Cricetulus griseus: one gene and its partners. The protein of the gene in region 3 purifies or fractionates together with the protein of the main gene of each other region. This does not show direct contact. Links are inferred from orthologs where the notes say so. Each region holds a gene or a part of one and is shown on either strand. Other genes may lie near its edges.

Evidence for each region.
Region 1: the proteins of Napa (region 3) and Vti1b purify together in Homo sapiens (affinity purification with mass spectrometry; 3 studies listed by BioGRID and IntAct, counting the BioPlex papers as one, with this or other methods). This does not show direct contact. The link is inferred for Cricetulus griseus from reciprocal best matches to the Homo sapiens genes NAPA and VTI1B.
Region 2: the proteins of Napa (region 3) and Snap29 purify together in Homo sapiens (affinity purification with mass spectrometry; 3 studies listed by BioGRID and IntAct, with this or other methods). This does not show direct contact. The link is inferred for Cricetulus griseus from reciprocal best matches to the Homo sapiens genes NAPA and SNAP29.

The regions. Positions count from the first base shown.
Region 1 is NC_048598.1:124,459,445-124,463,873, forward strand, and holds the start of Vti1b (vesicle transport through interaction with t-SNAREs homolog 1B), read left to right. Parts: upstream 1-1,570; 5' UTR 1,571-1,882; coding exon 1,883-1,997; intron 1,998-4,429. UniProt on the Homo sapiens protein: V-SNARE that mediates vesicle transport pathways through interactions with t-SNAREs on the target membrane. These interactions are proposed to mediate aspects of the specificity of vesicle trafficking and to promote fusion of the lipid bilayers.
Region 2 is NC_048597.1:71,888,174-71,891,819, forward strand, and holds part of Snap29 (synaptosomal-associated protein 29), read right to left. Parts: intron 2,042-3,646; coding exon 1,943-2,041; intron 931-1,942; coding exon 773-930; 3' UTR 1-772. UniProt on the Homo sapiens protein: SNAREs, soluble N-ethylmaleimide-sensitive factor-attachment protein receptors, are essential proteins for fusion of cellular membranes.
Region 3 is NC_048602.1:10,772,192-10,775,837, reverse strand, and holds part of Napa (alpha-soluble NSF attachment protein), read right to left. Parts: intron 2,760-3,646; coding exon 2,643-2,759; intron 1-2,642. UniProt on the Homo sapiens protein: Required for vesicular transport between the endoplasmic reticulum and the Golgi apparatus. Together with GNA12 promotes CDH5 localization to plasma membrane.

The DNA.
Region 1 (4,429 bases), on a different chromosome or scaffold from region 3:
GTTGTTTTTAATCATTATGTTTTTAGTTTCAGATTATAACTGTATGAATGAAACAAAAGTTTAATTGTTGTTTAAAGAAAACACTTCCTGTAGTTTTGCAGCTATTTCCCTTCTAACAGACGATGTGCCCAAAAAATCAATCACTATAGTACAACTGCCATCCACATGCGTAATTTGGGTTGTGATCATCAGACCCATCATCAAATCAACTATTTCCTTCTTACCTTTTATGCCACTGTCCAAAAGTCACTTTCCAGGGCTCTTATTCATGCCAGGCTCTCCTTATTTGTACCTCTTTATTTCTGTGACAGAGAAATATAAGGCTTGGAGCTGATGAGACAGAACCGTTATTAGGATCATACAACTCTTACATGCATGACAGACAGCTCACAACCACCTGCAACTCCAGCTCCAGGTGTTCCAAAACCCTCTCTGGATTCCACAGCCAGTACACTTGCACTCATACATGTATACACACACTTAAATATAATTATTTTAATTTAATTTTTGAGGCAGGATTTCTATGTATAGCCCTGCTGTCCTGGAACTCTGTAGACCAGGCTGGCCTTGAACTCAGTGATCCATCAGCCTCTGCCTCCCAAGTGCTGGGGTTAAAAGCATGTGACACCACTCCTGGCCCATCTTTTAACTTTGTAAGAAAAAGAAATATAAGACTTTGCACCACCACTAACAACCCTAGACTTTGTCATCTCTGCACAATGCATGTTACATTTTATTTATTGAGTTCAATGGTCAATGAGTTCAAACTAGTAAAACCCAGGGCTTCAAAGACAAAAAAAAAAAAAAAAAAAAACCAACACCAAAACATTCCCCCAGGAACCTGCTCCCCTACACACCTTGGAAAATGGAATGTGGGACTTTGATTAAATCTATCTATCTATCTATCTATCTATCTATCTATCTATCTATCTATCTCCATGTTTAAATACTGAGCTCTCTCACCCAAACTTTTGAAGAGCAGGCTTTTTGTGCAAACCATACACAGAAAGGACTTCATGATTGTTGACATATTTCACTTAACGGCAGATTAGATGTGGTAAGACCGGTTTGCCTTCCACACCAGATCATAAATTACCCAAGGGCAGAGACAAAATCTATTTTGTTCAACATATGACTCGGTCTTTGCATAATGTCTATGCTTAAACCTGTTGTGAGAACCCAGGGCAGCCTAATGAACTACACTGGCGAAGCCCCTAGAAGCCCAGTTTCCTCTTCTGAAAGCATGTGACACTTAAGCCCCCCCAATATCAGTGTTTTACCATTAGAGGGCAGGCAGGACTCTGCTCACCTATCTATCAAGGGTTAAGAGTAAACATTTAATCGAATCAGAGAGCTGAACGAACTGCGATGACAGATAGGTTGATGGAGGCTCCTATGCTCTCCCAGTCTCTGCGCAACAGGGCTGACCTTCCACGCCCCTGCACAGCCGCGACCCATCTGCCCAACTCCCTCACTTAACTACAATTCCCAGCATGCACCGCAGGCCCGGTGTGCCCGGATGAGGCGGCCGAGGCGCCCGTCCCGCGGGCCCCCTGGGGCCCTTCGCCTTGGTACCTCCCCAGCCCGGCTGGCAGTCTCCAGCTCGGAGACAGCCGATCGTCCCCCGCGCGGCGCCGCGCCCCTGGAGTAGCCGGGAGTCGTCCTCGCCCCCGGCTTTCCGTCAGGCTTTGGCGCCCGGCGCCCGCGCGGCGACAGCAAGGGGAGGGCGTCCGGCTCGGAGGACCCCGGAAGCACCTGGTTCCGGCTGGCCCGGGTACGGCGGTCGCGGTGATGGCTTCGGGACCCGGCAGCTGAGCGCTGAAGGGTGAGTGGGCCCTGCGCCCGGAATCTCAGAGGCCGACGCTCACGTGCAGCCTGCGCCATGGCCACCTCCGCCGCCTCCTCCGAGCATTTCGAGAAGCTGCACGAGATCTTCCGCGGCCTTCTTGAAGACCTACGAGGAGTTCCCGAGCGGCTGCTGGGGACCGCGGGGACAGGTGAGGCGGGGGCGGGACCAGACCCGAACACCACCCGCCCGGTGCTGTCCTCCCAGATGCGGACCCCTGGCTCCCCCGGCACGCCCCCTGCTGCTGTCCGGCCCGCGAAGCCCAGGGTCTGCTGCAGCCACTTGGCTTGCAATGAGATAGACAGACACCAGGGTGTCGTCTCTTAGGGATCCTCTAGTGTCCTACTCCCCCCAACCCCAATTCTTAGTTATCTGCCTCTCCCAGGAGCAAAGGAGGTTCTTAAATCTGCGGTCCTGTATTTCATTAAAACGACTTCTAAAAAAAATCGTAAGATTGGAGGTTGGGGATGTAGGAGTTTGGTAGTTTGATAGGCAATGAAAAATTTTAATTAATTCTAACCATAGCGTTTAGCTTATAGGTGAGACAGAGGCCGGAAGTGAGGGAAGGCAAACAGTTACATTGAAGAGGAACTTGAATGTGTCACATAATACTGTTGGATGTCTTGGGGGAAATCCGTAAGGATCATAAGCAGTTGGGTAATGTGGATTTCATTTTAGAAGCAAGGCTGCGGTAGCTGGATAGAGGATGTGAGAATGGATATGAGGCTGTGTTAGGAGCTTCCATGACAGTTGACTAGGTAAGCATGGGACTCTGGAGAGTGAGCATTAAATCCAACAGGTGGTTCCGAGGCAGACTTATGAGACTGGTGGATAAGAATAGGAAGAAAGATTGAAGAGTTTCCGTGTTTTCTCACGTGATCAGTTGAGTGGATGAACTTAAATATGAGGAGCAGATTGGTTTGAGTTATAGATGTGACTGGCTACCTGTAGAGTGTATTCTGTATCTAGCCTGACAAAATATTTTTCTGCCATTAAAACCATCATCAAGAATTCATTAATAAAGTAGATATTGTAAAAACCAAGAATTTGCCAGTGGCAAATTTTCTTTTCTTTCTTTCTTTTTTTTTTCTTTTTTCTTTTTCTTTTTTTTTGTTTTTTGTTTTGTTTTGTTTTTTGTTTTTTGAGACAGGGTTTCTCTGTATTGCTTTGGAGCCTGTCCTGGAACTCTCTTTGTAGACCAGGCTGGCCTTGAACTCCCAGAGATCCGCCAGCCTCTGCCTCCCAAGTGCTGGGATTAAAGGCGTGTTCCACCAACACCCAGCCCCAGAGGCAAACACTTTTAATCCTAGCACCTGGCATGTAGAAGCAGGAGAATCTGTGTGAGTTAAAGGCCAGCTTGATCTACCTAGCAGACTAGGTTTTATATAGTAAGACATTGGGGGGGCGGGGCAGACTGGCTTCAGACTGGCTTAGTAGCTATGTGACCTTGCAAGTTTTTTAACCAAACTAGCTTCCTCTACAAAATAAAATAGCATCTAACTTCATGGGGTTTTTTGTGAGGAGTGAATGAGTTAATATATGTAAATCCCTTAAAAATACTATCTGGCAAGAGCTACTAGCTATTATTCATATTTGGGAATTTACTGTTTTTTTTTGTTTAATTTAAAATATTAGCTCTTTATGTAGCTAGCTATTCTTAGGATGCTCTGTTTTGTTTGTTTGGTTTTGGTTTTCTTGTTTCTCTGTGGAGCCCTGGCTGACCTGGAACTCTCTCTGTAGACCAGGCTGGCCTCGGACTCATAAGTACATCTGCATCTGCCTCCTGAGTTCTGGGATTAAAGGGGTGCTCCATTACAGACCCAGATTCAGAACACTTACTTCCTAATGTACTCAACACTTTACATATTTATGATACAGTATATTGCTTGGCTTTCTGTGACTAGAAAAGGAGTTTGGAAATGTGCTCTACAAATCAGCACCATCAACACCACCTGGGAACTTGTTAGACACACATGCTTACCCCCCACCCCAACCTCCACCCCCACCCCAGCAAACAGAATCACTAACTGTTGTGACAAGCAGTCTGTCTTAACTGCTCTCAGAAGGATTTCTGGGGCTGGCTTAAGTTTGAGAACCAATGATCTAGAAATGAAATAATATTTTGTTCTGTGTAGTGTGTGTAATAAACTCCCAGGCATAGTGCCCAGCACGCCTGTATCTGAGTGTGGTAGTGCACACTTAGGAGGCAGAGGCAGCAATGGGTCTCTCTGACTTTGAGGCCAGCCTGGGGTTACACAGTTGAGACCCTTTCTCAAAACATAAAATGAACAACATATATATTTGTTAAATTATTGTAAAAATCATTTTTGGTTGTTAAAGGTACTATGAGTTCTTAGAAGAAAATAGCTGAGTAGGCATAATAATGTGTTTTTTTCATATTTTCATTACTCTTCAAATCGATATATATATACCTGTTAAAACAACCAAAGCAAAAGAGATACTTATTTCCCCAAAGTGTAGTCTGTATTCTCTCTTGGCCCTTGAAGGATAACTGTCACGGTGTGTCCTAATTTAGGAAGTTTTTGTGGCAATGACAGTCTTGCCATGTATGGTAATCATTAA
Region 2 (3,646 bases), on a different chromosome or scaffold from region 3:
GTTTTTGTTTGGGAGATACTCAGGGCTCACTAACTCCACAGGGGTTCCTCATCAACCTACTTGGTGACCTAGAGCCAGTCAAAAAAACCTGTCCCCACCAGAGATGGCAAGTATGAGATGACAGTAGGTGGGGAAGAAGAGTTCATCCAATTTCCATACACTGCAGGTGTCATGTCCAACAGTTCTAGTCTGAGTCCTTCTACTGAAATACAGGACAAGAACTGAGGACAGGAGGGGAGAGTAATGAAGGCAACACATTCCTTTTCTGGGTCTAACAGGGGTCCTTTTCAGGGGGAGAAAGCTACAATGTGCTCAGTGTATGTGCAGGCATATCGATAATGATTGACATACAAAGATGTGGAAGGACCCTTCCTTCTGCCAAAACCCAGGGTCACTTTACATGAATTCACAGTAAGGCCTTGGAGTGAGAAACAGCGAGTAAATAGAAGGCAATAGTTAGGAGACTGACTGACATCCTGCCCACATCTTTGCATATACTTGTGAAAGAAAGAAATGCACGGTTTTCTTCTTCCTGCACAGTATCAAAAGCTCAAGGCATTCACAATTAGTCTGCCCAGAACTTTAGAGGTGTTGATCTTACCCAAATGTGTACACACACATTTTTTTCCCCATTGAAACTAAAATTTCTTAAGACCCACATTTGAACACATATGTTAAATTACATACTGTACAATCAATGACATTTCTTAGGAGTTTAAAAGAGGCTTTGAATCTTTTCATCACAATGGAGTAGAATTCCTTTTCAGTTTCTTTAGAGCTGCCGAACTTTTTTTTCTGTGCTTTTTATATTGACATCTAACTTGTCCACTTTGGTTGTTAGCCGGTCAAGAATGTCATCCTGCTCCTCAATTTCCGTCTGCATTCCTAAGGCTATGTCCTTGAGTCGGCCCAATCCCATGGACAGCTCATCTGTGAGAAGGAAGTGATAGGCAGTTACAGTGTCTGCAGGGGCTTCTTGCCCCTCTGGATGCTCAGTGGTATCTGGACTGCAGAGTCCTGTCTAAAACCGAGTGCCACAGCCTGTAGCATATGACTCAAAAAACATGGAAGTGAAGAGAAATCTACTTACTACATAGTAATATGTGGTTAGTGTAGGTAGAAGCCACTGTCTACCTCCTCCCTCCAGATAACCAGGGTTAACATGTTTGTTTGTTTGTTTGTTTTAGCATAGTCTTGATAGATAGCTCTGGCTGGCCTGAAAGTTACAATGCAATCCAGGCTGGCCTTGAAGTCAGAGTGATCTCCCTGCTTCTGCTGCCTGAGAAGACTTAGGGTCTCTACCACGTACAGCATTGCTCCCCTAAGTGCTGGAGAATCAAACTTAGGGCCTTGCATGTGCTAGGGAAACACTCCAACACTGAGTCACACCTCCAGCCTCTTTATATTTGTCATGTTGAGACAGGATCTCACAAACTTTCAGGCTGGCCCTGGATTTGCAACCCTATCTTAATCACAGGTACCTGGGATGACAGGTGTTTGCCTGGCATACTATGCTTCTTGAGATCTTTGAAACATGTGACCTTACGTTTCCTGTAAAGTAAAAGTTTAGTGGTCACTCACCCAGGCTTCAAGAAAGCTTCTTGGGTTTGAGACAGTAAGGACAGGAAAAAAGGCTGAGATAGACCAGCCTGGTGGGCTGTGGGACATGCCTCTGTGGATATGAGCACTTGCTGGGCAAGCATGAGATCTGAGTTCAGCTCCTTCGCACTCACATCAGCCGTGTGGCTTTATCCTGGATGCTCTTAAGCCCCAGGGATGCTTAGGTCTGGTCAGGAGTCAAGAAAGTAGTGAGGATGGCTTGGCTACAGTGACAGCAGGAAATGGGGAGAAGTGGACAGATTCCTGACAGTGAGGCAGTACTGGGCGCCCTGGCTGTGCTCAGCATCAACTGTCTGGAGGCTGCTGTAGCTCCCAAACTTACCTAGGTTGTTGTCGATCTTTTGATGATAGGCTCGAAGACTTGAGTTCTTTGGGTAAACCTCAGCAGTCACAGCAGAAGCAGGCCCTTTGGGGGTTGGGTCTAGTTCAGAAAGAAACACCAGAGGGACAGTTCACTGACGGTCACTGCTCCATGAAATTGGCCTATTCTTTTCTGAAGTCCTAGGAAACTGTCCCCAGTAATCACTCATACCAGGAAGGAACTAAAGGGGTGGGAGGAAGGAGGTAGCTGCCTCTGAGGCCATGCAGAGGGACAGGAGCGGGAATGGGACAGGGGTTATAGGCTGGAGAAGTCAAGTCTGAGCTCTGGCTGGTCCTTCAACATTAGCAGATTAAGGACTCTCAATTTACAAGTCAACAGGTGAGATACGGAAAGAGACATGACAATACAACAGGGAACTGTCAATGCAAAGCTGCAGGCTCACAGGCAAGCAAGCTCTGGAAGACAGGTTGGTTTTTTGTTTGTTTGTTTTAATGCTTAAGATTGGAACCAGGGCTTTGTGCATGCTAGACAAGTTCTCTCTACTGTAAATCCCGTGAACTCCAAGCTTACCTCAAACTCTTGTACTCAAGCTATTCCTGCAATATTTGTGACTACAGGTGCATACTACTACACCAGGCAGAGCTGGCAGAGACAGCTTTAAAAATCAAAGTTGTTGTGTGCCCGTCTATAATCTAGCAGATAGAGCAAGAATATCAGAATTTTAAGGTCATCATCTACTAATGAATTTGAAGCCAGACCGGGCTAAATGAGACTCAGTCTCAAAAGAAACAAAACCACATCAAACCATATAAAACATGAAAAAAGCAAAGATGAAAATCATTGCCTGGTGTGGTGGTTTGCAGCTGAAATCTCAGCACTTGGCAGGCTAAGGCAGCAGGATCATGAATTCAAAGCCAGCCTGGGCTACACAGTAAACAATCTCAAAGAGACTAAAGGAAATGAAGTTATGCTACAAAACTGAGCTTACTATTTTTGTTTTTGCTGGGCCGTGGTGGAGCACACCTTTAATCCCAGCACGCCAAAGGCAGAGGCAGGAGGATCTCTGAGCTTGGTCTACATAGTTCCAGGACAGCCAGGACTACACAGAGAAATCCTGTCTCAAAAAAAAAAAAAAAACCAAAACAAACAAACAAAAAACAACAACAACAACAAAAAAAAACAAAAACAAAAACAAAGAAAGAAATTCTATTTCTAAACATATACAGAAATAACCTCTGTCCTCTTTTGAGAGTCTTGTGTAGCTCAGGCTGGCCTTGAATTTGGTATGTAAGTATGTAGTTGAGGTGGCCCTGAACTACTGATCCTTCTGCCTTCATCCCGAGTGCTGGAATTACAGTTTTGTGCTACCACACCTAGCCTCTCCTTTTCTTTTCTTATCTTTTGAGACAGGGTTTTCCACTGTGTTCCAGTATGGATTTGAACTCATGGTAATGTTTTGCCTCAGTCTCCCAAGTGACTAAAACGCCTAGTATGTTTGTTTGCTTGTTTTTGGTTTTCTGATAGCCTGGCTATATAATCTAGGCTGGCCTCAAACTCAAACTTACAATTTCCCTGCCTTAGCTTCCCAAGTACTGGGACTACCTGGACCCAATATGATACCCCAGAATAAATTCTCTTATCTCAGGAAGCCAGCCGATTAGCCATTCTAATATATATAAAACCATATTCTTTTGCCTTTAACAT
Region 3 (3,646 bases):
AGAGTGGACTGGACTCTCTTGGGATGAGGATGCTAAGGCTACTTCTTGAGGAGACTTCGGTAGCCAAGGTCTGTTGGCATAGGCTCTATTGGTGGGACAGTCCCTGCCACGGCAGTGGGGGAGAAACATGGATTCACAGGGCCTAGTCCTCTTATGCTGGCCCCTTGCTCTGGGAACAGCTTGGAAAGTAGTAGGCTGCCAGCTGACACCCGGGCCTGCTCTTACCACAGGGCTTATCTGATGCCACAGGCCTCAGTGAAACCTTGAAGGTAAATAGTAGGGCCCTTGGTCTATTCCCACCCTCTTGTGCTCAGCCTGTCCAGAGCAGGTAGGGAGTTACAGAGCCCGGCTCACCTCCGCATCACCCTGAAGCCCCTGATCACATGCAGATCTAAGCAAGCACCGTCCACAACAAACTAGGGACAAACCACGAGCTCCAATGAGGCGGTGGGGATAGGTAGATAGGAAGCCAGACTGCTTCCCTGCCCGTGCACATTCACAGCTCATTTAGAGCTCCTGCTCTAAAAGGGTCACATTCCCAGGCCTCAGGCAAGCAGCTCAGGCGAGATTCCTAAAGAGCTGATGGACCAGACCCCAGGGCAGGGGATCTCACAGCTAGCTAAGGGAGGTCCTTCCTGAAGAAACTGGGGGTTCAAGCCTCCACTGGTCATCCAGTTGTTTCCCAGGGCACCCAGCCATGCAGGGAGGCTCTGGTGCCAGGGGCTGCCCCCTTCTGGATGCCAGGAATGAATTGCTGTGTACAGCTCACAGTAGGTGTGTGCTATCACTGAAGAGAGAACACAGCAGAGTGACGGCTAGGCTGAAGTGTAGTGGGGCAGCACAAGTCCCCACTGGGTTCCTTGGAGGAGGGGGAGTGATCTGCTCAGACCACCTGGGCATGTCCTCCCCTGCTTGGTCACTCTTCTCTGTGAGCCCTGACTGGCCCCGCAGAAGAGCTGTCAACCGTGCAAATGCACCCCCTTCCCCTCATATGTGGAACTGTGACTGGGCAGGGCAGCAAGGCAGCAGCGCTGGATGCCACGTGGCTGAGTCCCTAGCCCTTAACACCAGAAGCGCTCCCCTCACAACTGTGCTTTCCCCGTGAGGCAAGTCGGCCCCTCTCTACCTTCACTCACACCCTTGGCTGCAGCACCCTCAATACTTTCCCATCAGCTTGGACTTGCTGAGGCCGGGGCCCATGCCTGGGTCCCGAGAGAAAAAGGACATGACCACAAGCTGGGAGGGGCAGCTATGGCATCCTGCAGGTTGGCATCCACTGCCACCTAGGAACAAGTCCTCCCGGCCATTCCGGCTGGAGCAGCAGCTGAAGGGCACAGATGCCAGGCAGCATCTCCAGGCCAACCAGTTCCCCAGGGAGCAGAAGGGAAAGTGTGGGGACGGCTCTGTGGGGGAGAGGACTGCCCTGAGTCACTGGGTGTATCTAAGTCCTGGCTGAAAGGCCATCCGTCCCTCTCTGTTTGTCAGGCCTGAGCCACACATCATAGCTAAACAAACAGGAGTGACCAGTCAGCCCAGGGACAGAGTCACCACAGTCATCTCTCTAATTGGGAGTGGTCCTGTGACAATGACGGCTGACATCCACTGATGCTGGGGAGGACCGAGGTGCTTGTCTTCTCTTCTCCTCAGAGGTGGGCTTTCACCCAGACCCCAAGCCTCTCCTTTGGGAAAGAACAGTCACTTCTTTCCCACTCTCCTGAGAGAAACAGCCTGGATACTTTAAAGATTTATTTATGAGACACAGTCTCATGTAACCCAGGCTGGCCTCAAACTCACTATGTAGCCAAGAGCTAAGGATAGCTGAGTGTCTGATCTTCCTGTCCCTACTTCCCAAACTCTGGGACGACAGGCAGGCACTGCCATGACTAGCTTAGATGGCCAATTAAACAAACAAACAAACAAACAAACAAATACCTGTGCGTGCTGAAATTTAAAGTTAGTCATCTATGTAGCTCTAAGATTTTCAAAAAGAACCATTTTCAAAAAGAACCAAAAAGAACTGGGGACATGTACAACACATTTGCAGCACACAGAGGTCCAGGCTCCATTCCCAGCACCACAAAAATAAGTGAACAAAAATACCAAAAGCAAATTCCTCAGCCTGGAAATCTCAAGTCTGAGGTCCATGGGCTGTGCTTTGGCCTAACCAGGCTCCTATGTCATAGGCTCTGCTTTAAGGAACTGGGCTCTGGCAGCTCACTCCAGGCTTGCTCTCTCTGCTTCCTTCTGGTGTGCTGGGAAGGCAGGTCAGGCTGACTTCCGCTCTACCTGGTTCATCTGGGACTGCCCCCCTCCCTGCTCCCTGCTTCCTTCTGCATGCTAATTCTGACAACTGAACAGCTTTGCCTGGCTCCCTGGCAAGGAGTGGGCCTGAGATGGAACTCCCACTACCAAATGCTCGAAGCCCAGGAGGGGGTGAGGGCTGCACACCAGGGTGGGGGTGGGGGGTGGGGAGAGAGGGCAGGATGCCAATGTCAGCCAAGGACCAGCCAATTCTGAATTTGGGGCTTGTTTTGCTCCTGGCCTATCATGTGTCAACTACTGGAAAAACCCAGCTCTGTATAGACCCAAGGATGTGGGGACAGTGCTCAGCTGCTCTGCCAGCTGTGGCTCACAGAGGTTACCTTGTGGGTCGGCTTTCTTGAAAGCGTTGCCTGCGTCCACGAAGCAGGTAGCTGCATCATGCTTGCTCTGGAGCTGTAGGTGCAGCTGGGCAGCCTGGCAGAAAGCGTTCCCGGCAGCTGGAATAGAACAGATCGTCCCAGCTTCAATGCAGTTGCAGTCACTGCCCAGAGAGGCACATTAGGCTCACAATTAGAATACAGGTAGAGGCCAAGATCAGCCCACTCCAGCCCAAAAGCAGCCTGAACCCCTCACAGAGCTTCCTGGTGGTATGCACCTGGTAGAGTGAGGACGTCAGGAAGCAGCCTCGGGGGAAGCCTGAGCCCAGGGGCACAGAAACAGCCAGGTAAACACAGTGCCAAACCCATGTCCCCCCCCCCTCTGCCGGCACCTCCAGAGCCACCACTTCCACAGAGAGGAAGGAAAGACAGACAGAGAGCTGAGGGCTGCAAATACATGAGACATGACACCCAGGCTCTTGGGCTCTTTGAACAGGGAAGCCCAGAACCTGAACTAAAGGTGGGGATGGGGCGATTGGGGGGGGGGGAAGGGATGTGCTCTGGGAAGGCACAGGTGAGATCAACCCATGTGACACTTCCCACTTGCTCCCTTTCCTAGCCCATTTCTGTCCTCCACAACTCCCCAAAGCTCTCAGGTGCACCCCTGCTATGTCTGAGTCCTTGCTAGAAAGGGAAACAGGACGAGGACAGCAAGAGCCAGAGTCCGCGCAGACAGTGCTAATGCCCGAGGCAGCCATGGGCTCCACACCATTTTGCTCAGACCTCCCCTAGACTGGCTAAGGGGAGGCAGCAGGGTTTTCCCTGCTGTGGGTGGTGCTCCAATACCACCTCAGCTAAGGCACTACTTTGCATGCTCCTCCAGTCCCAGCTGAGTGGGAGCCTCCAAGCTATGGGAGGTCCCACCTGTCCACTCTCCTGAGCACAGCAGGACACACAAAGCCTGCAAAGGCTTTGCTCCACAGTTATCTGATGATTGTGATCACCTT